Schizosaccharomyces pombe: one gene and its partners. The gene in region 4 interacts genetically with the main gene of each other region. Each region holds a gene or a part of one and is shown on either strand. Other genes may lie near its edges. The genes, in order: apl2, erf2, erf4 and rho3.

Region 1 (9,536 bases), on a different chromosome or scaffold from region 4:
TATTGGTTCTAGGAATTTACGAATACATTGTTGATATTTTTTAGGTATTTTAATAGCTTTGTAACACTGCTTTAACAACATAAACATTTCTAAATGGTTTGACATGCGTGAAATTTTAATTGATCAGAAATTGCTTAAAAGCATTTTTACAAGTTTTAGTATTTGTAGGATCATTTAATAAAAATAAATTACGTACTTTTCTAGTCTACAAAACGATTCGCCTGCTAAGATTATTGTCATTGTAGTACAAAACGTTACATTCATATTTGTTTTATCACATTTTGACTTTTGAAGGCTTTTAACGATTAGGCGCCCGACTTTTTTCACCATTCACTTCAAGAATTTAAAAAATAAAAAATTTATCAACATTAAGTGCCATCCCGTTCCTTTCAGACATAGCTGATCTGTTTACATCTCCCGGGCCTCAAGTATTCTTAAAAAAAGCTCTATTTGAGCGTTAAGTTCAACTAGAGAAATTTTTTTTAGAATTTGTAGGTATATCAAAAGATACTTAAATTTTCGCAAATTTGTTCTCATCGAAAACCGCTTGGCTTCTGTTTTTCAGCCAGTCGAAGGCGCTCGATTTTAAAGTGCTCTCTAATCCACACTACTAGCATAGCGATGAAATGATTAATATCGTTAATAATACGTTTTTTGTTGTAAACAAATTTCCGGATTTGCGAATTAGCGGGAAAAAAAAAAGAGTGTGAAAGAAAGATATTTACTCATCTATTGAATCTATGAATAAAATGATTTTCTCCAATACGAATTCCTTATCAAATAGCTTTTGAAGAGATGAAAGAAAACCAGTGGCTGAAAAGTAACAGCGTTACTTCGAACATTCTATGGGATTTTTAACGACAAGACAGCACTTTTGACATTTGAACTTGCCAAAAGCAAAAAAGCCATTGACGAGTCGACTGCGGAAAATGGACTCAGACTTGGATAGAATACTACCGATAGCATCAAGAGCATTATTGTGTGAAGGAAATAGGGATTGGGCTGGTGCGTATGTGAGTTACTGCAAGGTTTTAGAGGAGATGAAGAAGTCGTCGGCAGCTCGCGATCGCATGGGATTGGGACCTTTGACGGGCGCAGAGGCATGTTCTTGGAACGGGCTCTATGACAACTGTTTGAGCAAGGCAAGCAAGCTGCGTAAGACGATTTTGGAAAGTGAAATGGAAAGGCAAAATTATCAACTTGCAGCCAAACTTTCAAAGAAGGCGCCCGTTGATCTTCACCCCTTACGTCCAGTAAGATCTCAAACACCTGCGTATACCCCCATGACTACTAGGATGATGTACAGACAGACGAGAGGTGCGCAGTCGGAGGTAAATTTATCTACGCCTAAGCAAATATATTCCAAGCATTCGCCTCCTTCTACCTCCACTTCATCCATTGTTTCTTCTTCCTATGGAGATGCACCTTCTTATCTGGCACCCTCTAAGCCAAACCGTTCTCCACCCCTCAAACCCGAAGATCCCTTTGCCTCTTTCAATTCTTCTGCTTCGGCCATTGCTGCTGCTTCTAAGAGTGCTGCCGCTTCTGCTTCTGCTCTTTCTTCTGATACAGGTCGTTCTGCTACCATGAATTCCACCACTTTTCCTACCGCTATGAAAAGTCAGTCTACGACTAAACCGACGCTTTCCAATTCGGTATCTAGCCCTTCTATTCAGGTGTCAAACAATCAAAATGCTAACAATAGCACTCCCCTCTCCTTCCATGCGCCAATTCCTCCACTCCATGTTCCTGCCGTCCCCCTTACGTCTGCATCGCATTCATCCAGCGATGGAAAATCGCGCAAGCATCCTAGCCCATATAAACCATACTTAAACTCTTCTCATGATACCCTTGGTTCTTCCACTCGACCGTCTTCCGCTGACACAGCCGGATCACCTGCTACATCTCCTCCGGCAACCGCTGATTCTAAGACAATTGTGTCAAAAACTATCTCAGCTAGTACTACTCAACAAACTGAACCTCTTCAACAGACCACTCCTTCAAGTGATTTTGAATATGCTATTATGAATGAAATTATTTCTAACCATGAACCTGTCTACTGGTCGGACATTGCCGGATTAGATGACGCTAAAAATTCCTTGAAAGAGGCAGTCATTTATCCGTTTTTACGCCCGGAACTTTTCCAAGGATTGCGTGAACCCGTACAAGGCATGCTTCTTTTTGGCCCCCCTGGCACCGGCAAAACCATGCTTGCTCGTGCTGTTGCGACCGAAGCGAAAGCCACATTTTTTTCGATTTCGGCTTCATCATTAACCTCGAAATATGTAAGCAAGTTTTATATTTAACCCCATTCTTAACTAACCTTGATTTAGCTTGGTGATTCTGAAAAGTTGGTTCGAGCCCTTTTTGAAGTTGCGAAGCGCCAGACATGTAGCGTTATCTTTGTTGATGAAATTGATTCCATTCTTTCCGCTCGTAATGACAGCGGTAATGAGCACGAGAGCTCTCGTAGATTAAAAACAGAATTTTTAATTCAATGGTCTTCGTTAACTAATGCGGCTCCGGACAAGCAAACTGGTCACTCTCCCCGTGTTTTGGTGCTGGCAGCTACAAATCTTCCGTGGTGTATTGATGAGGCTGCTCGACGCCGATTCGTTAAAAGAACCTATATTCCGTTACCTGAAAAAGAAACAAGATATAAACATCTTTCTCATTTGCTTCATAATCAAGTACACTGTTTGACGGAGGAGGATCTGGAAGAACTTGTCAATCTTACCGAAGGTATGTATATAAATAATTCGATTGGTTAGTTAACTAACGCCATCTAGGTTATTCAGGCTCTGATATCACTGCTTTAGCCAAAGACGCAGCAATGGGTCCTTTAAGAAACTTGGGTGATGCTCTACTTACCACCAGTGCAGAGATGATACCTCCGATCAGCTTGAATCATTTTAAAGCTAGCCTTCGTACTATTCGTCCAAGTGTCTCACAAGAGGGTATTCATCGTTACGAAGAGTGGAATAAACAATTTGGTTCGCAACGTTAAAACAACTTTGTAGAGTATTCTACCTTTAATATTTTCAAGAAATCATATATTCTTTTGCATCAAAAAGGCAGGGTATCCTTTAATTTATTCAAACTTCCTTTCTCTCTTTTTAATTTTATCCTTTAATGTTTCTTAACGAATCATTTGGGTATCGTTTTTCTGGATATTATGAGAATTACCGTGCATTTAGGGATTGAATCGTGGATGCTGATTTTCATGTGGTTTCAATAACTTTCTTTTGCATAAACTTGGCTTATTACGAATTTTAATTTCTGTTTACCTTCATTTTATTTTCGTCTTTCCTACAACAACTAAAATGTATTCGTGATTTGACTATCGCTATAAACGACATTTTAAATCATAGCCGACTTGACAGCGCCTTTTACAAATGCTCCCCTTTTGTATTTTCCATCAATTCTCTTTATTTTATTTTTTCCATTTATCGTCATATTTATTTCGTTTACATACAGCCTCAACCTATTGGGCTACTTTTTTTCCCTTCACTATTCTCCAATTTTGAACAATAATTATTAGTTATTTAATGTTTGGAAAAGGGTATTGCTTTACTTGAATCGCATTTTTACGGCAATTAACTTATAGCTTTTATTGAAATAACATTTCAACCTCTTGTTTGTATACTGAATTAAATGTTTTAAAATTTATTTAAAGGTCATAATAGTAGCGTTTAAAGCATTGCAGGTTGAAAATGAAATCATGAATATATAGAAATTGGATTTCAGTATTCGATATTGTCACCTTTGTTACTTCTGGGAGTGGGTGTTTCTCACCGAATGGGTTTGACTTGACATGATTATTGAACCACTGCTTTATATATGTAAACGTGTTTTTGACCTTAGGACGTTTACCACCTTTAAAAGAGCTACATAAAGAGCGGAATTATACAATAGTACCGAATGGTTCCAAAGTTGTTTCAATCGAGCCGTTTTAAGGCATTTAAAAAAAGCGAAACAAGTGAATTACAAAAGGGACTAGTTTCTCAGTATGCCTACGAGAGAATTGATGCTGTGAAACGGACTATTGCCGCAATGACTGTTGGCAAGGATGTGTCTAGTCTGTTTCCCGATGTTTTAAAGAACCTAGCTACTCGCGATATCACCTTGAAAAAACTGGTTTATTTATATCTAATTAACTATGCCAAAACACACCCTGATCTTTGTATTTTAGCCGTTAATACTTTTGTAAAGGATTCTGAGGAATATAATCCTACTTTACGAGCTCTGGCAATTAGAACTATGGGTTGCATTCGGGTAAATAAAATCATTGGCTATTTGGCAGATCCGTTGCGAAAAGCTTTGAAGGATGAGCATCCCTATGTTCGTAAGGCTGCAGCGGTTTGTGTTGTAAAGATGTATGACCTTGATCGAGAATACTGTGCATCAAATGGTTTCATCGAACAATTGCAGGCGTTGGTATCTGATCCGAATCCTGTGGTTGTGGCTAATGCAGTCCGCTCACTTGCTGAAATTCATGATCAGGACCCTGAAAAGGGATATTTTAATGTAGTTTACACGATGACAGACAGGCTAATGGTTGCTTTGAGTGAGTGTAATGAGTGGGGTCGGATTACTATTTTGAATTCTTTAGCTAGATTTCGCACTTCTGATATCAAGGAAGCTGAATATGTTTGTGAAAGGGTGGTTCCTCAATTCCAACATGCAAATAGTGGTGTCGTTTTGTCCGCTGTGAAAGTCATAATGGTACATATCCCTCTCTTTTCCAGTGACTTTACAGACTTTCTGTACAAAAAAATGGCTCCTCCTCTTTTGACGCTACTTTCTACGGACTCAGAAATCCAGTATGTAGCCTTACGGAACATTAATTTAATATTACAAAAGAGGCCTTCTATTTTTGATGTCAAAACTCGGGTTTTTTTCTGCAAATATAATGATCCTCTTTATATTAAAATGGAGAAACTAAAGATAATTACAATGCTTGCATGTGACGAAAACATTAACGAGACCATTTCCGAGCTTCGAGCGTACGTTTCCGAAGTTGAACTAGAATTTGTGAAACAAACGATTAAATGCCTTGGAGACGTTGCATTGAAAGTTCCAAGCGTCATCAATGATTGCATCTCCATATTTCTTGAAATCTATGAGTTAAATATTAGTTATATGGTTCAAGAAGTCACGGTGGTGATGGAAACGGTTTTGCGCAAATACCCTCAAAAGATTGACTTATTACTTCCATATCTTTCTCGTGTCATTGAGGAGCTTGGTGACCCTAGAGCCCGTAGTAGTATGGCTTGGATTTTAGGGGAATTTTCACACGTTATACCTACTTCTTCTAAACTATTATCCGAAATGATTTCTACTATGGCGGATGAAGATTTACAGATTCAATTGGCTTTACTGACGGCTGTTGTAAAATTGAGTTTGATGAACGGCAAAGGAAACGATGAAGAACTCGTACAGAAAGTATTAAATTATGCAATTAATCAATCAAGCAATCAGGATTTAAGGGATCGTGCCTTTGCATATCAGCGGTTGTTGACACCTGAAAATGTTCGTAAAGCTCAAAAAATTGTTTGTTGCGAAAAGCCTTCCGTATCTTATAATAACAATCTACCTGAGGCACTTTTGGATGCTCTGTTGTGTGAAATCACAACTCTTGCTTCTGTATACCATAAATTACCGGAATCCTTTATTGGCCAGGGCAAGTTTGGCGCAGACGCAATACAGCGTCGAGCTGTTGAAGAATTGAACATTGAAGAAGCCAATGTTCATGAAGCTATTGAAAAAGGAGCCAACGTTGAAAATTTGCTTGACCTTGATTTTACTGATCCAGGCGCAACGTCTGCCAGTGATTCTCCAATAACCAGCGCACAACCTCAGTCGGGCTCAAATAGTGCAATGGATTTGTTCATGGCTTTTGAGGCACCGAGCACAAATAACGCTGAACCTGTAAAGGCTAGATCGGCAACAGATGATCTGTTAGGGCTTTAAAGATAAACGACAGATGAGTGGCATGATAGATGATGATTTGTTTTATTAATATTTATCTCGTTTCGTTTGTCTAATGGGAAAAACGGGATAAGGTTGATTGATGCACATCTAGTTTATGAAGATATGTTTCAATTGTTGTTTTTTCCCAAATCAGAAAGTCAATTTTAACATAGAAAGCATGTTCTTCTTTCGTTTTTATAAATAAATAAAAAAATATTTGTTAAAATGGATGCGAAGCAAAAATAGGGACTGCTCATTGCAGTAATCATTATCACTGAGGTGCTATCACGAGTGGTACAGATTGTAATGTTAATTATAGGCGTTTTTTAATCTGTACGAATGTAATGATTATCCCTGGCGATATTCGTTTTTGAATTCATTCCAATATATATATATATATATATATACATACATACGTAAGTGAGATGAAAATGTTAAGGAGATTTATGGGTGCTTTAGGCACGTACGGAGAAGCTTTTGATATGCTTTCCTGGAATCACCACTAAACCCAAAGCTCTAGAGAAGCCTGATTTCATTATATTAGTTTTGACGAAATTGGTGAAAAACAGAAAGAGGTACTAGCTGGAACGTTTGTTTTCAATTTAAACAGTAACCCAGCGAAAGTTTACTTGAATTTGAGGGACGCGCTATTCATGAACACATATCAATCTTACCTTTGTTGTATTCTGTGGTATTTGAGAGAATGGCAGCGCCTTCTCTGTCAGTGCACAAGAACTTTCCGATGAATTTTCTCTCATCAAAAATTTCAATATGAACTGACCGATTGAGCCAGCTGGTCAGTAAAATCTCTCCATTTTCCATGATCAAGGAAAATTCATCAAGCTTGGGGGAAGTGAAATCAATAGCAGTGGATATACATACTCTGAAAATACTAAACATTAACGCAATGCACAAAATTTGAACATCGTATTGTAAAAAGTAATGTAGTGCCATTAATATAACGCTATGCTATGATACACTACGTTGCGTATCACTATATGTCATATGTTGGAATACTAGCTAAGATCCGTTTATTGATAATCACGGGTAATTATCCGTCTATATACATAGATACCCGTTAATAACAACTATTTAGAAATATTATAAATAGCGTTACAACTGAACCTCGTTCCTCAGTTCAGTTATGAGCTATATTAGTGATAGGTAACATTATAACCCAGTTAATACAATACCTATACTCAGTTGCTACTTATACAACCTGTGTATTGTAATATAAATAGACCATAAGGAAAACTCACCGCAGTTCTCCGTATCCTTAAATCAGATACCAAACTGCGTAACATTAGGGAGAATTGAAAACTGTGCAATTAACATTGGTATTTTAAACAACGGAATTGGTGCATGTCTTTACATAGTATACGATATCACCTTAAGTATCACAAACTACGTATAATAGAGTAACTGAATGTGGGGTGAGTAATGGCAACGTAATGCTCTATAACATAGCGCGGACTATCCCATTTGCGATTTTATTTTGTATCGATCTTTTAGCATGTTGAAGAGTGTGTTTTGATGAAAGAGAAGGTAGATTACTATAATTACCGATCCTAAATACAACATGAATGTATTCTCATAAAGAATGGTTGAAATTATAATCCAGAAAGTAGGTATTTTTTCCTACTGATTTCAACCCTCTACGCTTCGCATCGTTATTTAGTATACAGTTGGTACAGTAGGATATCAAGGCCGTATACATACTATTTACATCGCGGTATCCAAAAATAGTTTAAACAAATGCCGTGAATAGTTTGTCTTTGCATCCATTTATGCAATTGATAGAGTTTCATGAAAACGTTCTAAGCTTGCCGAGTCAAAAACTGCCTTTCGACGGCAAGACACTAGGCAACTTCGTCCCAATGCAGTACTGGAAATTTCAAGGAGAGGGAATTGTAGCAGTCTAGTGCAAAGTAAAGTGAATTCATGAACCGACTTGTCATGTGAGTTTTATTATTAAGAACTCATTGTATGAGAAAAAAAGAGGGAATCGTTTCGTTAATGGGTTTTTTAAGGGGTTCGTTCATCTCCAATTTACAAGTTTATGGGTCACTTGACATTTTCTCTACTTTAACAAAAACTGCTACGGTTCCTCAATTCCCTGTTGATTGATAACGGATATGAACATAGAGTTGTTGATATCAGAGTAAAGTATTTTAAGCGATCTCGGTTATATACTAAAACATTGGGAAATCTTCCTATTTTGAAAGCCAGCAAACCAGCTTCATTTTAACTATGTCTTTCCAACCAGCGATGTAGGAAAGCTTGGTAACTTTAACTCTCGCAAAGTGTCGATAAGTTTGCGTAACGAGTTGACTGTTTTATCTCGCTTATAAAGGTTAAAACATTTCTACAATAATAGACCGTGCTACGAAACAGTAAAATTATGTGTTTGTAAAAAATACTTATGGTAATAGGTTCAACCGAGCTCCCTCCAGCACATAAAATTCATCGTTATATGAATAGCCAAACTTCATCTCGTTTTTTCCCCTATGATCAAATTTTGTCGAACAGGAAAAAGTTGAGTCGCTTTACATTACAGAAATTTCGATATTATCGCATGTCACGCCATTGAATTTTTGGCATTACTATTGCACCCCGAAAGCTGCACTCAGTCTGACCAAAATCTTAACGGTCACAGGGGCGAAATACAATATACAGCAATCGGGTGCAGCGAAATCACCTATCGTAGTCCATCGGTACTCTATCCTTGTTAATGAAGTAGAAGGCTGGTATCGATAAAATATGTTTTCGAGATGGGCCGAGAGTTCGTTAAAAAAATGAAAAATTTAAATGGGTTGGATATTCTAGCAGTCGATTATTGGCTTTCTTTTCTTTTCTTCCTTTAAATATTATTATTATTAATACTCTTTAATCAATTGCCTCTCTTTTTCTAGAGTTTCCTTTTTTTCTGGCTTACTTTTTCGCATTCTGCCAAGGTGCCCTATTAAACAAAAGGTAATCAATAGTACCCTTCTAATGCAAGAAAAAAGTCTCCAATTCGCTTTTCCCCCTTTGCAATATCAGTAAGCAAATAACTCCATCCAAGCTCATTAGATGGGATAGCACATACACACATGCTACAAACCTTCAATTTTACCCGTTTACCCGACTTTCCAGCAGCACATAGAAGATGGACAAGGGGCATGGCAAATGTGCATGCATATGGCAAACAAATATGTGCAAAATGACATTATTAAACGATCATAGCAGTTCGAAATGGACTTGGTAAAACAGTCAACTCTTGGCTGTTAAGGAGGAATAGTAAGTTATCAGTTTAAGCCACAGTATGTATGGTATGGGAAAAAACATCGGAAATTTGGATAGAAAAAGTATTATGAGTGAGATGAAAAAACTCTTAGAGGAAGTGTTTTGAGTCGGAATATTTATGATAAGTATTGATGTTGAACAGTTTTTCATTTAAATTTTTATTATAATTATTATTAAATTTTTTTTTTTAATTTTTTTTTTTTTTTTATTTACTTTATGTCAGAGTTATGCTTACTTGATGGATTATTGTGTCTAAACTTACAAAATTAATAATTTTA
Region 2 (8,335 bases), on a different chromosome or scaffold from region 4:
CGGTCTTCTATATGTATGAAAGATGTTTCAAAATATTACCCAACCCAGTAGTTATTCCAAAAAATGCGATAAAAAATTTGTATGACAACGATTTACCCTACAACCTTCAATGAATACCAAACTGGCTCGATCAATTTTTTTTAAATTAAAAAAGCACTATTTTAAATAAAAAAATAACCAAACCTAGTTCGTTAATTCCAAATTCACAAATCAATGCACACTGTGCAGAGAGCGTCTTGTTCTTCCTTGTAAACCTACACCTATACCAATTCGCGCGCACCTTGTGATACTCGCAACTCTACAAATATACAATGAATAGGACTTCAGAAAGTGTGGAACCTCAACAAAATGAAAAAACAGCAGTGCATTGGAGCAGAGAATGGGTTCCTGTTGTTGTAGATACATATTCTAATGAAGATGATGAGGATAATGAAGAAGGAGATGAATCCAGGCCTCAACGAACATTTTTAGTAAAACGGTGGGTGCAAGATAATGTACAAGTGGAAAAGAAGGGAGACGAAGAGACTGCAGCAGCAGATAATTGAGAAAAAGTAGATGAAGTAGGAATTTAGAGTTGCAGCGTCACCTGCCCTTTGGAATATACCTTAGCACCTGCTTCCGTTACCTCGTATAAAAGCTCCTTGTCATCATCCTCCGGGGTCTCGCATATTCCACTACGAAAGTGATTTGGCATTCGAGAAAGACGCAGGAATCCGGTGATTCGTCGAGCGCTACCGCTAGTCAAAGGCCGACAGGAAATACATCTAGTTGCCATGTGTCCGATTGAAGAGCCTAAAGACTTTTGTTGTGGTAACGGAGCTCCCAAAGTCACGTTTACAATGACTCTACTGAAACATTTTCGTAATTCCAAAATTGCCTGCTGAATCTTTGTGGAATCGAGAGCATGAGTACTTTGTAAAATATCAATATCTTCTATGATGATCGTGGAGTTTTCAAATTCAAAATCGTTTTCCTCCACACATTGGATCACAGGCGCGAAAACAGATTTGATGTGATTTTTGGTTTCTGGTGCTTGTACCTTCGAAGGCTTGGAAATAGGAGCAAATAGCATGCTGAAGCCATCGATAAAGAAGAAATTTTTTTTCGTTTTAATATCCATTCCCTAATATTGGTTCAGTAGGTTAGTCATACGAATAGTTTATCATTCAACCACTTATGCAATCGTAATCCCTCTTTTTACATACCCATTTACGCATACTAATTGCATGCTCATCTAAGGTTTTACTGAATGTTAAAAAACAAGTACTTTCCTTTGCTTTCAACGCATGGTATAAATAATAATGGAACAGAAATGTGACAGGTGTTTCTCTTGTTCCCAGTAGCAAAGTTAAAGAAAAAGGCTCAGGAATGGGGCGTAAATGCTCGTGTAAAGAAGACATTAGGTTTAAGAGCCGTTTGTCATTAGTTTTATAGCCTAACTACAGTAACCAGCTTTCCGAATGGTTGTAGAGGGTGAATGGAAAACACAAGCCTGGGAACGGAGCAACATGAACCAGAGTAAGAATGAACAAGCCGGTCAGTAATGCAAAGCTAGTTCTAATATTATAGAAGTTTCAAGTATCAAATTAAAGAAGTCTAATACCAAATTATTTTCCAGAAAACTATCCTCTAAATGTGGATAAGCTATTTCATTAAAAAAAGAAAAACTATCTACCTATGGAACATTGATTTGCCTAAAAGGCAATCATAATAATAAAAAAGAACAATAAAGAGCAAATCCCAATAAATTAGACTGGAAAGGGGTTTAGCTAAAGGAGGTAAAACCATCTATCTATCATATAAGTCATAAAAACAAGCAGCATTACTTTAAAAATAAAAGAGAGCAGCCAAATTAAATATTAATAATTCCAGAGATTGGTGAGAACAAGGAATAGTTTTATAAACATTTGTTTCTGTACATTGTTCTCTGTAAAGTACAAAGGGCGAGCTGAAGGGGTCGACGACAAGGATGAAAAAAAAGAACAAAACATTATCCAGGTAAAAATTTTGAAGAGGGGAGTAATCTTTTTTATTCCGGTTATTAAAACCAAATTAATTTCGGTACTGAAAAGTAAATTGGTAAGGGGAAGATGAAAGAGTGTAGCATATATGCGTGAGCGATTTGAGCATTATTGTCTAGCAAATAAAAAATTTTTATTTCTTATTTTCTTTGTGAAGCCAAGGCATATTACACGTAAGACTTCCTAGTGGGACGAACGTAACTCACATTTTTAGGACGACAAAGGACAACCAGAAAATTGAGCCATATGCTGTCATGAAAAGGATGTACATCTTCAGTTTCTGTACTCTTTGCTCGTAAGTATTCATGAACATTCTGACCAACAGATATTAAATAGCACTGGTAACAGAAAAGGATGCCAGGAAGTATTGCTCCAAGTGCCCCATAAATGCCAAGGAAGAAAGATACGCCAGCCCATGGACGACGAAGATGCGCCGCAAAATTTGTATCTGTGGATTCATGAAAACTTCCTATAGAAGTATAGAACCCCAATCCAGTTAGATACAAAGCTGAAAGAACGACAGATAACAAAAAAATAAAATAATATCTGTAGTTTCGACGACCAATGCAAGTGTTTAACCAAATGCAGTGATGATCAAGGTATTCAACACAATTATCACATAAATGACAATGGCTTGCACGTGGAGGACGATATAAGTGGCACGTATGGCAATAAACTGTATTAACAAAGACAGAGTCAGACCGAGTGGATCCAACAAGGACTTTACGGTCTTCAGGAATTACAGACCAGGGATGGGCAGGGTTATAAGTTAAAGAATATGCATTTCTAGGAAGAATTCCTGGATCAGCAGTCGAGCACTTGAACATGGAAACAACGGCTAAGGCATACAGGTAAGCAAAGGTAATAGGGACAGCGGGAGAGACATGATGCCAGAGCCAAAAAGCAGAAAAGATGAAGAAAAGGACTCCTGGAAGAATCAAGGCAAACAAGCTAATGAGGAAAGCTTTGTACTGAGATGACATTTGCAATCGACCACAACATAAATAGATATTGTTTCCTGGTAAATTCTTATATCGGCTTTCAATATGCGGTACTTCCGGAACATCATCAGGAACGGATTGAAATCTATAAGGAATTTGGTTCTTTTCTTCCAAATTCATGGGATACGTTGGATCAGACAAAGTCACCTCAAATGGATTCCATGGCTGATTCCACGCGTAGCGGGATGCCTTAGCATCACTGTGTTTCTCATAGCTCATGATTATATTCTCTAAACAACAAACATGGCAAAGAAACAGCTATTTTTACACCTGGTATTATATCTTGTAGTTTTGTTGTCGGTAAGGATATGAACCCCTTTTGCGATGGAGGGTGAAGTAAATATTAGCATCCGCCAAAGTTTGTTTACTAAGCAAATAAAGAAATCAAAATAAATAAACAATTAGAGAATGTGACTCTAATAACTAATATTTGGAATGGCGCCTATTTAATCGATGAGAGTGTATTAAAAAGAGAAGGGAAATAAAAACAGAATATGAAATGAAATGCTAAAAAAAAAAATACTAACCGAAGAAATAAAATTAATAATAATAAATAAAGTACTTATTTTTTTTTTACGAATAAAATGTAAAAAAAATTATTTAAGAGTGCCAATATATTAGTATTTATATTTTTCAAACTTTTTATTTAAATATATTTCATCGATACTGTAATTGGAACATCCTGTCAGTACAACAATTCAGGGCTCAAAGTTAGAAAAATCAAGTTTAATAAATTATACTATCCGTGCAATTTCGGGTTTGTAAAGAAAGTGGATAATATATGGAAAAATTAGTAATATATGACTCGATAAAGACTCCAAAGACTAAGATAAAAGACCAATATCATGGGAAGTAGACTAGCTAGTAAACCATTTTCATCTTGTGTATTATGTTTTTTTTTTTTTTTTTTTTTTTTAAAATGGCTAAATAACTAGCAGGAAAATAATGGGAGGGTGTAATTGAGAAAATATTAGAAATGAAGGTACGGAAGCAACGAAAAAAGATCTTAAAAGTTTATTAGAGTGTTGCAACTATTGAAATTATGATTATCGCGAAGCTATTAATGAAAGGGCTAATTTAAAGGATCATCTCTATACTTTCACTAGCCCCGAAATAACCCAATAACCTCTATGGCTTGTAAACAAATAACTCAAGAAACACGGTATATGGTCAGTTATGGATGAAATTTTGAAGAAAAATTATTACTAATCTACATCTAAGAAAAACCATCCTGGCTTCATTCACTGTATTTAGTGGAAATGTAGTTCACAAGATTATCGAATTAGATTGTTATTCCTCAATATGCATGACTCCAAGCGGTCCTTTGGTTTTATTTCCTGTTTTAAAGGGAAATGAATTAAATTCTTATTCCTTAGAAAATCTCAATGACGCTTTTAAACGTACTTGTACATTGGACCTACTTTACTGGAGAAACATTTGCGGTCAGCAACTACTATTAAGTTACTAACCTCATGGCAGCTAAATTTTGAAAAATGACTATATTTATTTATAATGGTACGAACCATTTTTATTTGTTTGCGAAGTTTTTTAGTGTTCTCTTCTTATTATTTACAAATATAATCTTAGGAAAAGTTTAGTAAATAAGTGTCCTAACAAATTCTATAGTATAATACAAGGGTAGAGGTAGTATCTGAAAAGTATTATAAAACTGTATAAAGCAATATAAATACAAGGGCGGTTCGATCCCGATTGCAAACGCTGGAAAATCTAGAAATATTGGAAAGTTGCTTCTTTCACCACTTTAGTAGAAGGAGTTGGTGATTATTATGATATTATTATCCATTCAAATTTGAATCTCTTAATGCGCACCGTTGCTACGTCTTGTCTGCGTCAGGTGGCGATCCCCATAAATATTGATGCTTGTCATAAATGTTGCGAATGTTCGCCTACGTATTTCATTTTGACATTTACAATCATAAAAGGATTTTAGATCCTTTCCATCTCGAAACAATTAATCAAACTATTCAAGCGAACAAGAACTTTTTATTTTTGGAACCATCATGTCAATTATGCGCTCAATTATGTCGAACCGCCTGGTTCGCTGGTCAAGAGAATATCCAGAACTATTTGTAAGCTCAATTTTTTTTTGAAAAATATATTGAGTTGATTATTTCGTAAGCTGATCAGTTTGCTGTTAGATAACTTGGTGTGTCATGACTTATACCTTTGGAGTTGCTGGTTATATGCTTGGTATGTTAAAAATTAGTAGAAAATTAGAAATCAGCGCAGTTAATGAAACATTATACTCAATTTTAATATTCTGTTAAAATTTTCCTACAGAATATTTATTTTACAAGCGCATTTACATATGATTGTTTAAATTAAATGATTGTAGCTAACAGTTTTTTAGGACAGCGGGGCTTGTTGGTACAACATGAAGATCAAGTCCGAATTCCTTCAAAAAATGCTCACCCCTGGGAAGACACCAAAAGCAGTAGCGGAAAAAGTGATGAGAGTCTTGATTATAGCTACAAGTATTATCCTCGAGGAGATAGGAGTAAAGAACCTCGAAAGGCACCTTCTGCTATTCAATACAGCACTTTTCCCGTTAAAGGTGTATCAGAAGAGGTACTTGAGCGATTCTCTAAGTAAAGCACATTAAATTGTGTATAACCTTTTAGGAATGAAAGAGAACAATTATTACATTGCCAAATATTTTTTTAGTGCTTTTTCACTTTACAAATATCTCACTCTCTACTTTATGGTAGGCTCTCATTTTTGGAATATTTGCCCTGATATATTGCAATATTTCCAAACATCTTCTTAGTTATGATTTCTTGCTTTATTGCTTTAATGTATAAAAAAAATATTTGCTTATTAACCTGTGTTTGAAAACGGAGTTTAGGCACCACTTTACCAACTTCACAATTTATACAGCATTTTGAAGATAATGATAAATTTGTAAACAATAACAAAAAATAAGCTTGTTTGAGATTTTCAAATAACTTAAATTGACCTAGTACTTGTTGTCGTTTAACGTTAAGCTTAATCAATAGCCGAGTAATTAGTAAATGGGACTTGCCGAAAACAACGCTTTTCAACTTAGAAAATTTAGCAAACCCACTCATACCTTTTAATAAGCATGGTCAACGCAGCCATAGTTGTTTCCTCAAATCGTCCAAATGTGCTTGAACAGATTTCCTCCTTGTTTAGAGATGGGAAGACTCGTTCTCTGGGGGAACAGTGGACTTTAGTATCAGGCCAACTTAAAGGAACGTTTGAAGATGCTAAAGACGCTTGTAACCGCATTTCTGCTACTGAGAATGTAGACTGTAATTGCTTGAGTGAAGCAACATTTTCCACTAAAAAGAAGCTTGTAGTATTTGACATGGACTCGACGTTGATTCAACAAGAGTGTATTGACGAGCTCGCGGCAGAAGCAGGCATCCAGAAAGAGGTTGCTACGATTACATCTCTTGCAATGAATGGGGAAATTGACTTTCAAGAATCACTTCGTCGTCGCGTTTCTCTACTACAAGGGTTGAGCGTCGATGTCATAAATAAAGTCATTGGCAAAATTACTTTCACTCCAGGAGCTAAACAGCTTTGTCATTGCCTTAAGCAAATGGGTGCGACTCTTGTTGTCGCTAGTGGTGGATTTGTTCCAATGGCTGAATATGTCAAGGGACAACTGGACTTGGACTATGCATATGCCAATGTACTTGAATTTTCCGATGATGGTAAATTCCTCACTGGAAAAGTTCAAGGTGCAATTGTAGATGGACAACGAAAAGCTTCCATTTTGCGTGAAAAGAGGGAAGAGTTGGGTTTAAATAAGCTCGAAACGATGGCTGTTGGGGACGGAGCTAACGATTTGGTCATGATGGCCGAATCCGGTTTAGGAATTGCGTTCAAAGCTAAACCCAAAGTTCAATTATTGGTATGTTCGAAATTTTTTTACAAATTTATGTTTTTAATGATCTTACTAACTCGATTTTTTTTTTTAATTAGGCTGATTCGAAAATCAATCTTCCATCTTTGCAAAACGCTCTTTACCTCTTGGGTATTGATGAGCAACAACAAAAAAAGCTATTGGAAAACAAAAATTAATTTAGAATTTCCAAGAATTTTTCAATCGCAAGGCGCTGTCAAGAACTCTGAGCTACTGTGGCTTGGTTTTTATAAAGCAATATTTTACTTGTGCGCGTGGTCTTTTTTTCTGTAGTAGGAGCCGTCTTTTATATACCCTACTTCTTTATTTTTGATACTCTTATTTTTCTTTTTCCTTAATTTACAATTTTGGTATGATCAATGCTTCATTGGAAAGGGTGTGCAATGAATGCTTAAAAAAAAAGGGGCAGTTCAGAAGCTTTCTTCTTTAAAACAGACAAGAATTACTCAATTGGTTTTTATAAAGCCGATCATTTACTCTTAAATCTGCTTCGTTATGCTGATAGACTTTGAAATTGATTCGTGCAATGACTACACCTTCGTTTCATAGACCTTTCTTTATTATCATTTATTAATTGTAAATAATACAATTGTATCTAGTTATTAAGAGTTGCAGAAAACATGTGCTTTTGACGTATTTCAACACCGTTTCCCTTGTATATATTCAGAGGTATTCATATACTACTACCCATGCGAGATTCATTATGGCTAAATCACCATTCCTGGAGCTTTCTTACGATATATTGCTAGAAATTAGTACATATCTTGATTATAAAGATATAGTTCATTTGTCAGAAACATGCAAGTCACTTTCGTATGTTTTTGACGACAAAACAATTTGGCATCGATTTTGTGCACGGGTCCAAGGTCTCACCAATGTAGTCCCAGTTGTTGATGATAATTACAAAAGACCCTATGCTGTATGGAAAGACCGAGGATACGCTTACTCATGGGGGCAACAGATAAGAAACTATTTGGGCCGCGTCGTCAATACAAATCAGTATCCTCGAGATCGTCCTGGTGCATTGACTGGGAAGGACGTTCGTTCTACTATTCAGGTTCAAGTTGGGTAAGCGCATAGATACAGGAATTTATTTGACTGCACTACAATGACTAACTATTCCCTATGCGGAATTTAGAGGTTATGGGATGTATTTATTAAATGAAAACGGAAATTTATATGTTACGGGGGTACCAAACAATGTTGGGCCCGAATTGATGAGAGATTTAGAGCCAATTGTGAAAATCCATGCTGGTCGAGAGTTTTGTCTTGCACTCGGTGAGACGGGACACTTGTATCAAGTATCTCTAAAAACACGAATTTGCTTGACAGATGAACAAAATATGCTATCAGCCTATCGCGGAAGAATTGCTAATTTTAAATCAGGTTGGGACTCGCAT
Region 3 (6,376 bases), 1.8 Mb from region 4:
AACTCACTTGGCATGGCTTAGAAGTTTTGCCGGGATCCGGGAAAATTTCTAACACCGACCTGGAAAAGGCACAATTTTTAGGGTACTCACGAAGGTGTCGCTGAAGGTCAGAAACTCTGGAAATTTGGATGAGGGTAGAGTCACCTAAAACGACCGAAGGGTTATTTTTCTGCTCAAATCTGTAAACGCAGATATAACCCGGACAATCATAAGAATCCTGGTTACAAAGCTCACTTTGTAAAAGAAGTTTACATCTTTCGGATAGTAGCGGATTAATCCAATCTTCTAATACAACAACTCCACGAGTAGGAATAGTTCCCGGAGAAGCGACTAATGAAAGTCTGGGTGGAAGATGTTTACGATGAACAGGAGGTATATTGGCACGCAAAAATTCAGGGTCAACAGGTTCAGTAACATTTAAGACAAAAGAATCCCCATTATTTAAATCCTTTACAATTGTAGTAACTTCTCTAGGCTCTGACATCTGAGTTTCATAAGTTTGTGGATATACTGTTTCGTAAGTAACTGGACGCCATTTTAACGATCGAGACAACCATCTATAAAATCTCGTTGCCTTACGACTTAAGGACCACCAAATAGACCACAAATCCCGTTTCCAGCAATCCCACTTATCTTGTAAGGAGTTCGAAAAACCGAGGTTTGTAGAGCTCTGATTACCCAATGTCTCAAATTTTGAAGTAGAGGAATATTCATTCACGTCTGCAGCTTCCGATTCTACATTTGGGGAAGGAAAATCTGTAGAGATTGATACTGAATGCAGAGTATTCGGCATTTTCATGAAATCCTAATCAAACAATATCAACATCCTTCAAAGCCTCTAAAGTCTTAAAATGTATGAACAAACTCAATTACTCGTATTTTCAGATATTTTTCAAAAGTTTTAACAATCAGGGAAACGGAAAAAGCAAACTGAGCTTAATGTTGACATTGGGATTCGTTTAAGGAAACGATTCATGTTACGTTATTTTATTTACCGTAAACATTTTTGCCATTCCAAGTGCCACTACTAAGAAGTAGCAATAGTATTGGCACTAAGTAAAAGGGAATTGACGGCAAGAAGGAATGCTCGTGAGGGATTTGTTTTGGAGTGTAGTTCTGTAATTTTTACCAGAAATTGGCGAACCGTTTGCTTGGTAAGGTGAGACTGAGATGCAGATAGAGATATAGGATGGGCAAGTAAATGCATATGGAGGTCGTAGTATAAACAAAGAATCATCAATGCAAGACAAGAGGCGGCTTCTTTAGCATTTCCTTCATCGACAATAAATATAGCATCTCTCTCATAAAATGGAGGATCAAGTGAATTTAATTCTTGCAATATTGAAGGGAAATGCTTGCGAAACACCGGAGCACCTTTTTTTCCTGACGGTATTGGAAAACAAAGTTCATTCTTCACATTCAGGGTGGTATTCGACAAATTCAAAACAAAGTAAGATGTATTTTCTGGAGGGGGATAAAATCCCGTAACATCCCCAACAAATATAGGAGTTGGTAAAAGATGGGTTAACGAAGAATTTGACATGGTAGGTGAGTTTCTAGTTGAAGATAGTAGGAGGCTAATTTTTTGCTCCAATTGCTCCTCTGGGCATGTGAGGATAGATTCAGTATTTTGCCAAAAGACTTCAGGGGTCAGCCCATGCGACCATTCTTCTTCGTCATCTGCTGCTCCTTGAACGTAAAGAAATCCATGTTCTCGGGAGTACCCATTCTGTACTTGAGCACTTGCAGTAACCAGAACAACTGTAAAATATTCTTCAAATTGTGCAGATGTTAAACGACTAGCAGGTGTTACCCATAAAGGACGAATGGGTTTAGTTAGCTTAGCCGCCAACGCATCTAAGTCAATGCCGGACTGCATTAAAGAATCTACAAATCCATCTAGCCTCTGTAAAATAGATGATTTTTCTGTATCAGGTAAAAACGGGGGTAAAAAGGCCAAACGAGCATTAGGAAAGGAATGGGGACGAAGCCGTTCGAAAACACATTTATTGAGCGTAGCAATCCATATCGGAATCGTCTTTGATAGAGCATCGGGCATTCTCTTTCCACGACGAGTAGAATCTACTATAATCAATCCATCACAAGTGGTTATCTCATTTAGCAAATGCAAATTGAGACGACGACAGCTAAAAGACCATTGCCCGGTATGACCATCAGTACTTTTGAAATAAACAGAAATCGGAGCATGTCGTCGGTTGACATACCACGTACCGCATCGTTCATTTACAACAGGTTTAAATGTGGGGTACGAAGCTATAACTGAGTCGACAAACTTGGCATCGTGTGCAATTGACAGCAACCGATTCTTTCTTGAAATTAGTGTTAGCCAAATTTTCCATTCGATGACATACAAATAAAAGAAAAGCAAGGCAAAAAGGAAAAACAAGTAAAAATCAGCAAAAATATATATCAGTACGAAATCCAACAAATGGCGATTAGGCTAAAAATTTTTCATGAAAATTTAATAGCAGCTATCCATCGTTTTTTCTTACAATTTGCATTAATTGCTTGTGCGTTTATAAAGGTAGCAATCATTTTCTAAGTCTTTTGATTCTGCCAGCTTATTTGTATAGCAAATTGAGACTTACGGGTGTCTTGCTTGAACATGAATTTGTTGCACAGCGTCTAAAGGGTCGAATTCGTCCATTCGTTTGGCAGATCACTTCTGTGAGAACTAGAAGTTGAGATATTTGAAGTGGTGGCAGTCACGGCAGAGGGAAGTGTTCGTATAGAATGGTGCTCCGGGCAGTACGGATTGGAATGGAGAGTACTACTTTTCGAATTTGTTTCTTTTGTATGAAAAACGAGACTCAAAAACCCCATATTGCGAAGGCTGGCAACGTATAAATTATGTTGGGTTGCAAAGTCCAGGATGTACAAATCGATCGCCCCAATTCTTTTACGATGAATACTGCCAAATACGAACTCCGAGATATAAATCGTTAAAACAGATAGAATTCCATCTAATAGATTTCCAATTGACCATGGACAGAAGGCTTCTCTCAGTTTCTCGTTTAATGTGTGAATGAATACATCCCAATCCTCAAGATTCACATAAGCTCGAAGAGGTACAGGATAATCGGTTGGAAATTGAGGATATTTATCTCCTGAAACCGAATAATCCCTTTCAATGCGAACAAGCATCGAAAAAACCTACTGAAATGAAGCTTGGTGGATTCCCTAGCTCTAGGTTCAAGTGTACAATATTAGAAGACGGATTAGAGAATATGTATAATGAAACTGGGATTCGGTAGAGCACAAGAAAAAAAATAAATAAACAGGAAAGTTATAAGTTAAACAACGTTAAAAATGACTAAAAAATTATAAAACACTCATGAGTTCATCGATTGATCATATAACCGGAACTAAACAAACAAACGTATTAAATGTCAGAATTGAGTGATTAATTGAGTGAATAGCTGTAAAATGGGCAATGATAACTCATTTTAAAAAATCATTATGATTAATTGAGTGAGTTTCAGATTTGAAACAAAAACCACACAGTTTGTCACTAGGTAATTTGAACGGATTTATAGTGAAAATTAAGATTGATAAAAGGATGTGGTTTTAGTTGTTGAGGAATTGAAAATTAATAAAACGTATTGCTCGTTCAGGAAGAGGATAAAAGCTCTCTACAGGATATATTTCATCTACGATAAAAGTTACTTAGAATGAACTGGAAAAACTACTTGGGAAAATAAATGTAATAAAATATAAAAAATATTCGACTGTATATTATATGAGCATTGACTCATATTACTTTAGTCGTTAGATGAGATAAAACTTTGACAACGAATGCGGGCTTTTTTGAAGTCCTTGCTCAGTCCAAGAAGAGCGTCTTAAATCAAGTTCAATAAACTTTTTTAGCTGCAAGGGAAGTTAGGTTGCTTTAAAGTACTCAGCTATCTAAAACTCATTGTGCTTGCTATTAAGTTAAGCGTTAAAGATCCTATTAGGCTTAATATCGTCTGCGTTCTATACGACTTGAAGCTTACTCGCTTCTAAAAGGAATATTCGTTTAAATAAAAGAAACATGCTAAATATATATCTATAGATTCTTACAACCAACTTTTCTTATCCATTTATGCAAGTTGAATTCATGATTTGAAGAAATTCCAAGAAAGACGATTAAAAAAGAACCCTCCTTTACGAAGATGAAAATTTAGTTTCTCATGATACCCATAACATAACTGTTTAAAGGAAATATGTATCGCATTACACTGTTTTGTTTTTTTTTTCCATAGGTAAACAATAGAAAAAGTGTTACCTGTCTCGAGTCACAGAAAATTCGTATGATCTACAATCGCAACCCCAAACTACTTACCATCTACCACCTAATCATTGAAAATTAAAAGATTGCTCTGCGATTGGTAATTGCTAGCATTTGTGATTCACCACTCCGTCTTTACCTATATTTAACTATACTTTGTCAATTTCCCCCTGTTTGATACTTTTTAATTGTTTTACTTATCCAGGATGTCTGAAACGTTCAAGCTTCCCGATCATGACGAACTTCCCCAGCTAGTTCAAACTACTCTTTTTGATGTTGGAGCCAGAGTGTAAGTTTAATCCAATTTTTTACTTTTAAACGTTGAATTATCCAAAATGCTGATTGTTCTGCTATCTTTTTTTGTAAGAGACAGGGCTTAAAGGTCTAAGTACTTTTTTGAAAACTTATAATACAATTGTACTGCAGCACGGCATTTGATGATTTAACTCTTTTTTAGTCTTTTTGTATAATAACTAACAATCATTTAGTCGCAAAGGTACGTGAATCAAATTTAAAAAAAAAAAATGAGTGGATTTGTTTATTAATACCTTAATCAAAAATTTCTATAAAGCACTCTTTCTTCATGTTTATACTTTTAATGGAAAACTGTTTTTATAGAAACTACTTCCTTTCTACCTTTTTTCCTGTTTAGATGAAAGCAGTTTTTACTAACTTTAGCAGCTGTTCAAACTGGTTACAAATTTGACCAACAACTTTTCCCTTCTTACCACAAGGATCAAACTGATAGAAATGAGCTTCCTCAGCAAAAACATGATCCTAATCTTCGTCTCGATGATTTGAAGCAAGAATTGGCTGCTGATTCTATTTTCTGGGATACCGCCTCCACTCAAGAAATCGCCGATTCTTTTGCCAAGCCTGATTTTCTCAAGTCTCATTAAATGAATAAATGAGCAAGATAAAGCTTTCGATACTATTGGGTAATATGTATATTTTCAATAGCATAAATCTTTGTTATTGAGATGAACTATTACTCAAAACTATGAAATTGAATTGAAGATAAAGATTTACTTAATTTATTTCTTCGACTTTGCTTTCTAGTTTTTGCTTGCTTATTGTAGTATTGTTTACTCATGAATATGCGGACTCAGTACTAGTAAACTATACTTTTTAAATTATTTGTTTTGTGTTTCTTTTTTCTCGTCGCTCGCTCATCTGCTATAGTTTGTTCCTTTGAACATTTTCATAATAGTACCATTTTTATTTTCAAATTACGTTAAATGTGTTCAAATATTAAAAACTAAGTACCCTCTATGCAAAACCAAAATTCCTTGTCCGTATGCGTCTTACATTCACAAATATAATCAGCTTAAATGTTCCAGGTAAAAAAAAGGAAAATAAAACACCATTTGAATGTGTCGAAAGTTACTAAAAATCCAACTTCCATAGCTTCAGTATTTTTAAAGGTGGTATAAATAGTTAAGAAGAAAAAGTCATTATTTTTTTGTCACGAAAATCAAATTTTCCTCTTTTTTAAATTTTTATTTAGGTATCATGCTTTTTGGCAATAGTAAAGTACCGCCCACGAGCTTACCTGGCGCTGAGAAAGTAACAGGACGAAATCCCTTTTTGAACTGTTTTCTTTCTTTTCGTTTTTTTGCTAACACCGTACCACTCTCCCGGGCTTCGTTCTCAATTACTTTCTCTATATGTTTCTGTTTCTTCTTCATTCCTCTACGAGCAGCCATTGGCATTTTCTCGGTTTCCTTCTTACCGCCCAGTTGAGCAATGTGCTGCTGAACGACTTTGTGACGGATTTTTCCTTCAGCAACCAACTGAACTTGACCTGTCCTTGAGGTTGCCTCATGTAAAAGATGAGATTCTCGTAAAAGTTTTTGTAGTTCTAAATCGTTTTTTAGATTCTCGACTTCATCATCATCTGAACCATCATCATTTTGACGAGATCGTTTTCGCAATTTTTGTTCTTCTCTCTTCTTTGCTAGAATTTCTTCTTCATCTTCTAACTTGGGCATTTTTTTTAAAAAAGATACACGACCTACGGTCGCTGACAGAGTTGGCTTCTCAACTTCTTGATGGGAAACTCGTAGAATTTTGGACCCAAAAGAC
Region 4 (8,285 bases):
CGAGCTAGTTAAATCTTCTAGTTCATTTTCCACACGGCTTTTCTCACTTTCTGCGTTACGGCATTTCGTTTCCGTAAGCTGAAGTTTCTCTTCAAGGTTATGAAACTTTACTAACTCCTCGTCAAAACTTTTTTTTGCTGAGAGTTTTGCTTCCAGCTCTCTAATCCTTTCTGACAATGCTTCGTTTCTATGTACCTCAGTAGCATATTTATCATCAAGAGCCGCCTGTCTCTCAATTGCTGCCACCAGCTTTTGAGATAATATTTCTTCTTGCGACATTAATTTACCGTTTACTTCTTTTTCATAAGGATGCTGGTTTGGTTTTACACGCACATTTGAGACATCAGGCATAAAAAATTATAATATAACTTAGTTTAGCGTTAAGTCAAACACAAAGAAATTCCTTTAACAGCTAACGTTAGTACTGACATATCATGTCAAGGTAATTTACGGCGTTCATACACTTGTATCATAAGACGCTTTGGTGTCAGTTACGAAGTTCATAAAGTGTGTTAAGGATACGATAGACTACGGTGAGTTTTCATTGTGAGCAGTATATAATTTTACGTAGGTAAGTTTACCCGCAAATTACTCTGAATATTTAAATAATGGTAGCAATGATAATAAAAAAGACTTGCATAGCTTACAACTGAACTAAGAAAGGTGGTTTATCTTGAGCTCAAACTTGATAATCTTGAGTTTATAAAAAAGGTGAATTATAGCAAATGATATAACTAAAGCCATGTAGTGATAAATAACGAAATATGCAGCGTAATGTTATGTAACTAACACTAGTGATTCATTAAATCGTATTAAAGAGTATTAAACAACATGTTTCAAACAATTATTAATTCGTTGAACAATTTAGCTATACCAATTGTTTACGTTGAAAATACTTCTTCATCAATAAGTTTTGGGGTTGACTATGATTTGGAAGTAATCGTCTAATAATCGCTTATGCTATATGAATAGGTGTTGCTGTCACACACTGGATTTTGACCAGGTTTCTTCGTGATAGCAGACTGCTTTGTCAAGATAAGGGTAATAAGTACATGTCTACTAGAAAAAGAAAGTTAAAAAAAGTATTACTCACCAATATGGTCCTCTCGACACAATTGATTATGCTAGCGCTTGTTAATTGCTATTATTCCATAGCAGTACCGCAAATCTATCGTTAATCCTTTGCAACACCACAAATTTGAGCATTACACAAGTCTCAATTAAAAAACATTTGTGCATCAGTTCTTGCTTAATAATTAGGCTTATTCATAATGGATGAAGAATTGCAAGCTATAAGACAAGCTCGTTTAGCACAACTTCAAGCTGAACATGGTTCTGCCCCTAGGTATGTTCTTAGTTTCGAAACTTGCATATAAACTTCAAAACTCTACGACTGAAAGTTATAATTTTTTATTAGAATTCACTTGAAGGATTATGTTGGTAAATGACGAGATTTAATGAATCATTTTAAAATTACACAAAGGAAATCCGATAGTGAATTTAGAAACTAATTTATTTATATACTCCATTTTTTTTACAAGAATTAACAAATCTAGTAATATTGCTTCAGGTCCATCAAGCAATCAGCAACAACAGGAGGTACAAGATGAAATGCGACAAAATCTAGTATGTTTATGATGTGTATGGTCCATATCCGACTAACAATTTCATAAGCTTTCTCAAATTTTGGAACACCCAGCAAGAGACAGACTTCGTCGTATAGCGTTGGTACGAAAAGATCGTGCTGAAGGTAAGTGTGATTTCATTTTCTGCGGCGGATAATAATTTAATATCTGTTTACGAATAATGTAAACATGTGTCTAATTTGTGTAGCTGTTGAAGAGCTCCTGTTACGTATGGCCAAAACGGGCCAGATATCTCATAAAATCTCAGAGCCCGAACTTATCGAATTGTTAGAAAAAATTTCTGGTGAGGTCTCCAAACGTAATGAAACAAAAATTGTGGTAAGTGCCTTACTAATTCCTTCTCTCCTTTTTTATTTCAAATTCATCTGAGGAGAGAAATATCAAAAAAAAACATCTGTTTATATTACATGGTCCAGAGTTTAACTGTTTAATTAGATCAATCGACGTGTTCAAGACGATGAGGATGACTGGGATCTTTAATTTAAAGGATAAAGACATAATAAATTTTGTTTTACTTTCAAATGGATCAAATTGAATTAGGGTTGCACGGATGCACGAATACAACATATTGGGTAGTCTAAATTTTTACAATTTTTAACTTCAATTACGATATTTAGGGGTAACACTTCATATTACATAAATATTTAAGGTGCTTTCTAAAACGGTAGGATTTGACTCAGACCCATGTCTTACAACCGAAAGACTAATCCTTATTGCTCAACAGTATGCTTATCGTAAAAGAAAAGGGGTAGATTAATTGATTAGATTAGCAACTCAACGATTACACGAACAGAAGGAGAATTGAACAACTCAAAGTGTACAAGTTTCAAAAAAGAAGGAAAGTAAGGTTCACTGCAAACACTCTTTTTCACGATTGTACAAATACCTGCTGTTTCAAGTAGGAAGGTAAGAAAGATAGACAATACACCTGAAATAAGGAGATAAACTCATTGGAAACGGACAGAATCCCCAAGTGTCAAATTTAAAACCTTGAGAACAGCAAAGGGGATAAAAGTCAAAAGTACAAACCATTGAAAAAAGGTTAACGCTATTCAAAGGCCACCGCAACACCCACACTAACGTCATATACAATAATAAACTTCGAACATTAGAAATAAGACTTTTAGGCGCTTTCAAAAGAAAGTGCTTTCAAGCAATGATACATCCGGTACCATGGGATTCATCAGCACCATCCTTTGTACCTCTTGGTTGCGCGGCAAGGGCAACGCGTGCAGCTTCCGTGAAAGCTTCATTTACGCCACGATTTAATTTAGCGCTGCATTCTAAATATCGTACAGCGTTGATTTTTTTTGCCGCTGCCAGTCCTTCCTCGTAATCAATAATTTTACTGTGATCAACTTGCTCCTCATCAGCTCCACGTAAATCACATTTTAGAGCAACAAGAACCAATTTAACACCAGGGCAATTACTAGAGACTTCCGGAAGCCATTTTGTGATTACATTTTCTAATGAGTCTCGTGAATCCACGGCAAAGCAGATCATAATAACATGTGTATCTGAATATGATAACGAACGCAGTTGATCATACTCTTCTTGACCAGCTGTATCCCATAGAGACAGTTCTATACTGTTTCCATCGACAAAGATATCATGAATGTAGTTTTCAAATCTATTTTTAGGTGTTAGATAACGGAAAAAGTTTTTAAGTACAAGAAGATAATCATGTAAAGAAGTGGTGAAAACCCTTAACAGGTCAAGCATAGTAAAAGCAATTTGACGTTTGGTCATGAGAAATTGTACGAGTGTGACTGTATGGAGAGCACACTCGGGCATTCTCGTTTTCCTCAGAAATGAAACAAATTTCCACAAATTAACCCGTTAGATAAAAGGTTTGCAAAAAAAGATGCTTCATATTGAGTTATACTTGATATTGCAGACGGTAACCTCATTTCCGCTCCGCCGTTTACAGCTTTGCACTATTAATGATACTTACATAGTAGGCTCGTATACCTGAGGGAAATAACCCTTAGTAAATACATTTAACAAACTGGTTTTACCAGCAGCACCTATAATTTACGGTTAGAATGCTTAGCTGCGAAAATCACGAAAGAAAAAACAAAATTTTCACCAAGATCCTTACCATCACCAAGAATTACGATTTTCCGATAAATAGGCTTCTTTTTACTTCCGAAACAGCTTGACATACTTTCAATGAGCTTCAATCAAGCTTTCTATGGGTTTTTCAATGGTTTCTGTATAATAAAGGATTAGAGGTGTTTGGTTTAGGTACGAATTTTGTACCATGAGCTAAAGCCTACGCAAGACCCCAGCTTACTGCTTAGCGAAGGACATACATGTCCTTGTGCGCTGTAGATTGGCTTCTACATTTCAGGTAACAATCAAATTTAGAATAATTAAGGCGATGCGAACCAGTTTATTAAAAGAGATACGGAAATACGTAATACAGAATGAACTTCGCAAGTAGGATTGTTTCATAATATATTTTGATGAGTAAAGCATTAATTCATTGATGAACAAAACCTTCGAAGGATAGTTTTACTAAAATATATTGGGGAAGTCTACTCTCAGTCTCAAAATGAAATACACGGTATATATAACGTGATTGCTAAATAGGAAGAAAATCAACAGCACCAGTTAGTGAAAGTTGACCAAGGGCTTGTCAATTTTGAGGCAACCCTTTCAATTGAAAGTTTAAAATTTAATTGAAAATCGTACTTTGATGAGTTTGAAAAAGGAGTCACACAATAGTACAACCAACTTTACCGTGGTTTGTTTCATGATAATAGTTTAATTTGCACAGCAACTGTTGGAATCATGAATTGAATAGCACCTTTAAAAGAAGAAAATTTTGTTTGACATTTGAATATGCTTTTAAACTTTTTGTGCCGCTTTATGGCTACTTTCCATTATGTCGTAAAGTGTTTTTGCCGAGTCATTCAGAGCATCTGTATAATGTTGAGTTAAAACAAGCCATTCGGCTACAAAAGAAAGCATCTGTAATTCCATCTGTTTTCTATGATAACCCAATTGGAATTGGAAAAACCATTCTTGAGAAGAATCGCAAATTTGAAACTCCTTCGCTACCTTTAACGTTGTTTCAAACGCCTCGCACAATTTGCTGTAAACCATCATACAGAATTTGAGCATTTGTTCAATTTGCTTTGCTAGTGACATAAATACCATCTTTACTGTGTTCGAGGTTGACACAGACGTTTTTTTCATAAGTGATTGATTTTTGTACAACCTTCTTTTTGCGCGCAATAATAGTCTACTACGTTCACTGATAAATACCATCTCTTGAGTTACATAATTATACATTTCTTCTGCGTAGCTTTTTGCATTTTTTGAAGATACGCTAATTTTCGTCAAATTAACTGTTACGTCCCCAAAGCTGGGATTATCATCACTCAAGCTTTTCATATAAGTCTTCCATTCCATTGGAGAATCAATTAGAAAACTGGACACCTGATTCTCCATTTTCTGTATTGTGAGGTTAAAATGTGAAGGGATCAATACACGTTTTCTCGTTTAGGTGCGCTGGTAACAACAAAAAAGTAACAAACAAAAGGAAAGTCAGCAAAACACATAATAAACCAACATGTAAAAAAGTGTTAGTGCAATTGCTTATGCCCTCAAATTTGTAATTGAGTGTTTATAAAGTTCATTTCCTTATGTGAATATTCGTATTATCAGTTATGACTCGTTGCTCTGCTTGCGACTTAAGTTTGCTACCATGCGTTTTTCTTACAACAATTCAGAGATTATTTTCATGATGATTGCTACCGGGTTGCATGAATTAACAACTTAGTTCAATTGTTTTGCTTTTACGATCAGTTTACCCTCTCTCATATTGCGGCGATAATCTGATATTTCAGAGAATTTTAGTTTTTCAAATTGCGAAAAAAAAAATTTTTCAACCAACTTGTATTTCATTGCTAGTGGTTTATTTCATTGATTGGTGAATGTGGTTTAAAGGGAAACTGAACGTTAATAGATCATTAAAAAAATTTCTGTAAGACCCCCTTTTCTTTATTTTTCCAAGGATTTTTAAAGTATTTGGACGCTTGAATGACTTTCTATTATATTAGAATTTTAAGACTCCAAGAAAAGCTCGAAGAATCCTTTAAATACGCTTTACGAGTGGTTTTTACGATAACTTCTGATCTGGGCGAAGTTTCATATCCGCAAGATGCAACCGTAAGGGTTGAAGCATTGGATAGACAACAATCTCACAGTCGTATCACAATTTCTAAGCAATGTGTTTCATGGATAGGGAATGGTCACGCGGCTGAAACGACTTTGTATTTTCCTGCTAGTCACCAGCAAATTCAATTGACGCTGCATTTAGAAAATCAGAATTCAATCGTTGATTCTATACACATAAATGCCGATACTGTATTACCAGTTTGGAGTGAAGCTTTTTCACCGAAATCTACTTTACCTAATATGGTATGGCGGTATATCCAAGGCCCAGAAAAAAAGTCACCAAACGATGGTCTCTGGTTTCTCGAACAGATGGGTAACAGTATTGCTAAGCACTTGTGGGATGCCGGCGTAGTTTTCTCAAAAAAGATTCTTTCTGATGATTGGCATTATAGCTTTTCCAATAGAAAAGACATCAATGTTTTAGAACTAGGCTCCGGATGTGGAATTGTTGGTATAAGTATTGCTAGCAAATATCCACGTGCTCTTGTGTCAATGACCGATACAGAAGATGCGATTGAATTTATGGAAAAAAATGTTGAAAAGAATAAGTCTGCAATGAGCAACAACATAACTTCTGATATTTTAGTATGGGGACATGACATTCCTCGAAAATTTCGGCGTCATTGGGATTATATTGTTATGTCAGATGTCATGTACAATGAATCTAGCTTTTCTGATTTGGAGGCAAGTCTTCAGGAATTGATGGATAAGAACACAAAGTTATATATTGCGTACAAAAAAAGACATGACAATGAAAAAACTTTTATGAGCAATATATTGGGATGGTTGGATCTTGTTTACGAAGAACGTGGTCCAATCACTATTTACATTTTACAGAAAAAATAAATTTACTTTGCATCATTTTCATTTTTCTCTTAGGATGCGTTGCTGAATCTGTCAACTTGCGAATCTCGTAACTTTTTTGTAGCAGCATGTTTATATTGAGATGTCTTTTCGGGTTCTTATACACAACGGTCTATAAAATTTGTAGCATCGCATAAAACCAATTTTGCATCTAAACTATCAGCGAACTTGGGAACCCATGTAAACTCTGCAAAGTACATTTTCTGTAAAATTGAATTTCGGCTTCCAGCTTTTTTGAATGGTGTTATGACGACTGGCGCGAATTTAATGATTTAGCATATTCTTTGATAAAAAAACAACTCAACATTATATAAAGCAGTTTCCTTTATTTATTCTGCTTTATTTACCCTGTTCTCTGTATGCCTTGAAACTGGCTCGGCTTACGTCATATAGCAGCGCATACCAAGTGTAATACCCATCAAGCATCACGCACCATCCATTCACCCAAACACATAGAAAAATACAATGCAGCCAAGGTTTCTTCTACACGGAGCGCTTTTGGCATTAGGAATACAGCTTTGTCTGTCAATTGGTAAGTGTTGAGTTGCTTTTCTACAGAAACAGCGGCTGACCCGGCATTGTCTAGGCAAGATTACAGGCCACATATCGTCTATTGAAGCGACTGCAGCTGATATACATGATGCGCCTAGTACAACTACGAAGTATGTTCAGCGAACCGTTTACGCCGGTAGAGAAAAGGGGAAAATAGGAGGACCAGCCGATTCTTGGCCTCAACGAAAGCTTGATGACTTTCTCCAAAATCATGGGGTAAAGTCACTGGACGTTCCTCCTATCGAGACTCCTTCACAGTTTTGGAGGAAGCCATTACAGTATGTATCAAAGGTAACCGACAAATGTAAATCTTTCTATGAGAAGGAGAAGAATCATGCTTCTCATAACGCACAAAAATTGGACGTTTGGATTTTCAATTCATGGACCAACTCCGAGCTTTCTCGATGGCTTATTAAGAATAAGTACGAAGTTCCAGAGCCTGGAACCCGAGAGCAGTTGTTGGAAACAGTTTTCCAAGCATCAATGGGCGATGCCATTTCCACCAATGATGAGTTGGAATCCTGGTCAAATAATCTACTCCTTTCTATGTTGGATCAGAAAAACATTACAGTACCAATTGGTGCATCACATGACGACCTAATCGTCTTGGCTAGACGTTATTACGATATTGAGGAAAGAAAATCGCAAGACAAAGTGACAAATATTACAGATAGCCAGCCTGCACCATATATGAAAGAAATTATTCACTTATGGTCAGACGGTAGACTTATTGATTTTTTGCGAGAGCGAAACATTCCTATTTCTGTTCTTTCACCTCGGGAAACTCTTTTGAAAGAAGCATACGCTAACCGCTTCACACCGCGTGTAATGATTGCCTCCAACGTACTAGATGGATGGTCGTCTGAGGACTTATTAGATTGGATTTGGAAGTACAATAAACGTGGTTCCATATTTTCCCATGTTGCTTACAACTCGCGTCATGAACTTATTCATGCTGCTAAATTATTTTATATGGATGTTGCTTCTGAATGGAGCTCTTCTGACATGGCATCGCTAAACGATTCTTTATACTCA

The links.
Region 1: of rho3 (region 4) and apl2, extra expression of one rescues a mutant of the other (dosage rescue), as found in Schizosaccharomyces pombe (one study listed by BioGRID).
Region 2: of rho3 (region 4) and erf2, changing one suppresses a phenotype caused by changing the other (phenotypic suppression), as found in Schizosaccharomyces pombe (one study listed by BioGRID).
Region 3: of rho3 (region 4) and erf4, changing one suppresses a phenotype caused by changing the other (phenotypic suppression), as found in Schizosaccharomyces pombe (one study listed by BioGRID).

What each region holds. Positions count from the first base shown.
Region 1 is NC_003423.3:674,020-683,555, reverse strand, and holds apl2 (AP-1 adaptor complex beta subunit Apl2), read left to right. Parts: upstream 1-3,814; 5' UTR 3,815-3,921; coding exon 3,922-5,973; 3' UTR 5,974-6,428; coding exon of another isoform or gene 6,429-6,499; 3' UTR 6,500-6,647; coding exon of another isoform or gene 6,648-6,795; 3' UTR 6,796-6,923; downstream 6,924-9,536. Other genes in the region: knk1 (AAA family ATPase), read left to right, coding at 930-2,285, 2,334-2,742, 2,790-3,007; putative NatC N-acetyltransferase non-catalytic subunit Naa38, read right to left, coding at 6,429-6,499, 6,648-6,795.
Region 2 is NC_003423.3:1,864,209-1,872,543, forward strand, and holds erf2 (palmitoyltransferase Erf2), read right to left. Parts: upstream 3,325-8,335; 5' UTR 3,242-3,324; coding exon 2,189-3,241; 3' UTR 1,613-2,188; downstream 1-1,612. Other genes in the region: protein tam8, read left to right, coding at 312-545; elongator complex subunit Elp6, read right to left, coding at 569-1,123, 1,206-1,400; SPOM_SPBC3H7.08C (uncharacterized protein), read left to right, coding at 5,044-5,112, 5,182-5,233, 5,394-5,635; phosphoserine phosphatase Ser2, read left to right, coding at 6,126-6,923, 6,995-7,093; F-box protein Pof9, read left to right, coding at 7,639-8,003, 8,074-8,335. UniProt on the Schizosaccharomyces pombe protein: The erf2-erf4 complex is a palmitoyltransferase with a major role in driving sexual development. Palmitoylates ras1. Palmitoylates isp3. Palmitoylates rho3.
Region 3 is NC_003424.3:2,826,020-2,832,395, forward strand, and holds erf4 (palmitoyltransferase complex subunit Erf4), read right to left. Parts: upstream 3,166-6,376; coding exon 2,647-3,165; downstream 1-2,646. Other genes in the region: protein mug113, read right to left, coding at 1-799; rit1 (initiator methionine tRNA 2'-O-ribosyl phosphate transferase), read right to left, coding at 1,028-2,330, 2,610-2,668; spd2 (ribonucleotide reductase (RNR) inhibitor family), read left to right, coding at 4,498-4,580, 4,780-4,787, 4,973-5,190; rRNA processing protein Faf1, read right to left, coding at 5,791-6,376. UniProt on the Schizosaccharomyces pombe protein: The erf2-erf4 complex is a palmitoyltransferase with a major role in driving sexual development. Palmitoylates ras1. Palmitoylates isp3. Palmitoylates rho3.
Region 4 is NC_003424.3:1,037,061-1,045,345, reverse strand, and holds rho3 (Rho family GTPase Rho3), read right to left. Parts: upstream 3,898-8,285; 5' UTR 3,812-3,897; coding exon 3,748-3,811; intron 3,674-3,747; coding exon 3,601-3,673; intron 3,367-3,600; exon of another isoform or gene 3,277-3,366; coding exon 2,796-3,276; 3' UTR 2,263-2,795; downstream 1-2,262. Other genes in the region: guanyl-nucleotide exchange factor Sec2, read right to left, coding at 1-351; SPOM_SPAC23C4.09C (chaperonin-containing T-complex associated protein), read left to right, coding at 1,272-1,345, 1,557-1,626, 1,675-1,750, 1,834-1,964, 2,082-2,126; karyogamy protein Tht2, read right to left, coding at 4,500-5,105; efm6 (methyltransferase), read left to right, coding at 5,697-6,680; nuclear bridge Ish domain protein Les1, read left to right, coding at 7,164-7,230, 7,285-8,285. UniProt on the Schizosaccharomyces pombe protein: Involved in controlling cell shape and septation. Regulates cell separation by modulating the function of the exocyst complex. Involved in post-Golgi vesicle transport. Involved in driving sexual development in a palmitoylation-dependent manner.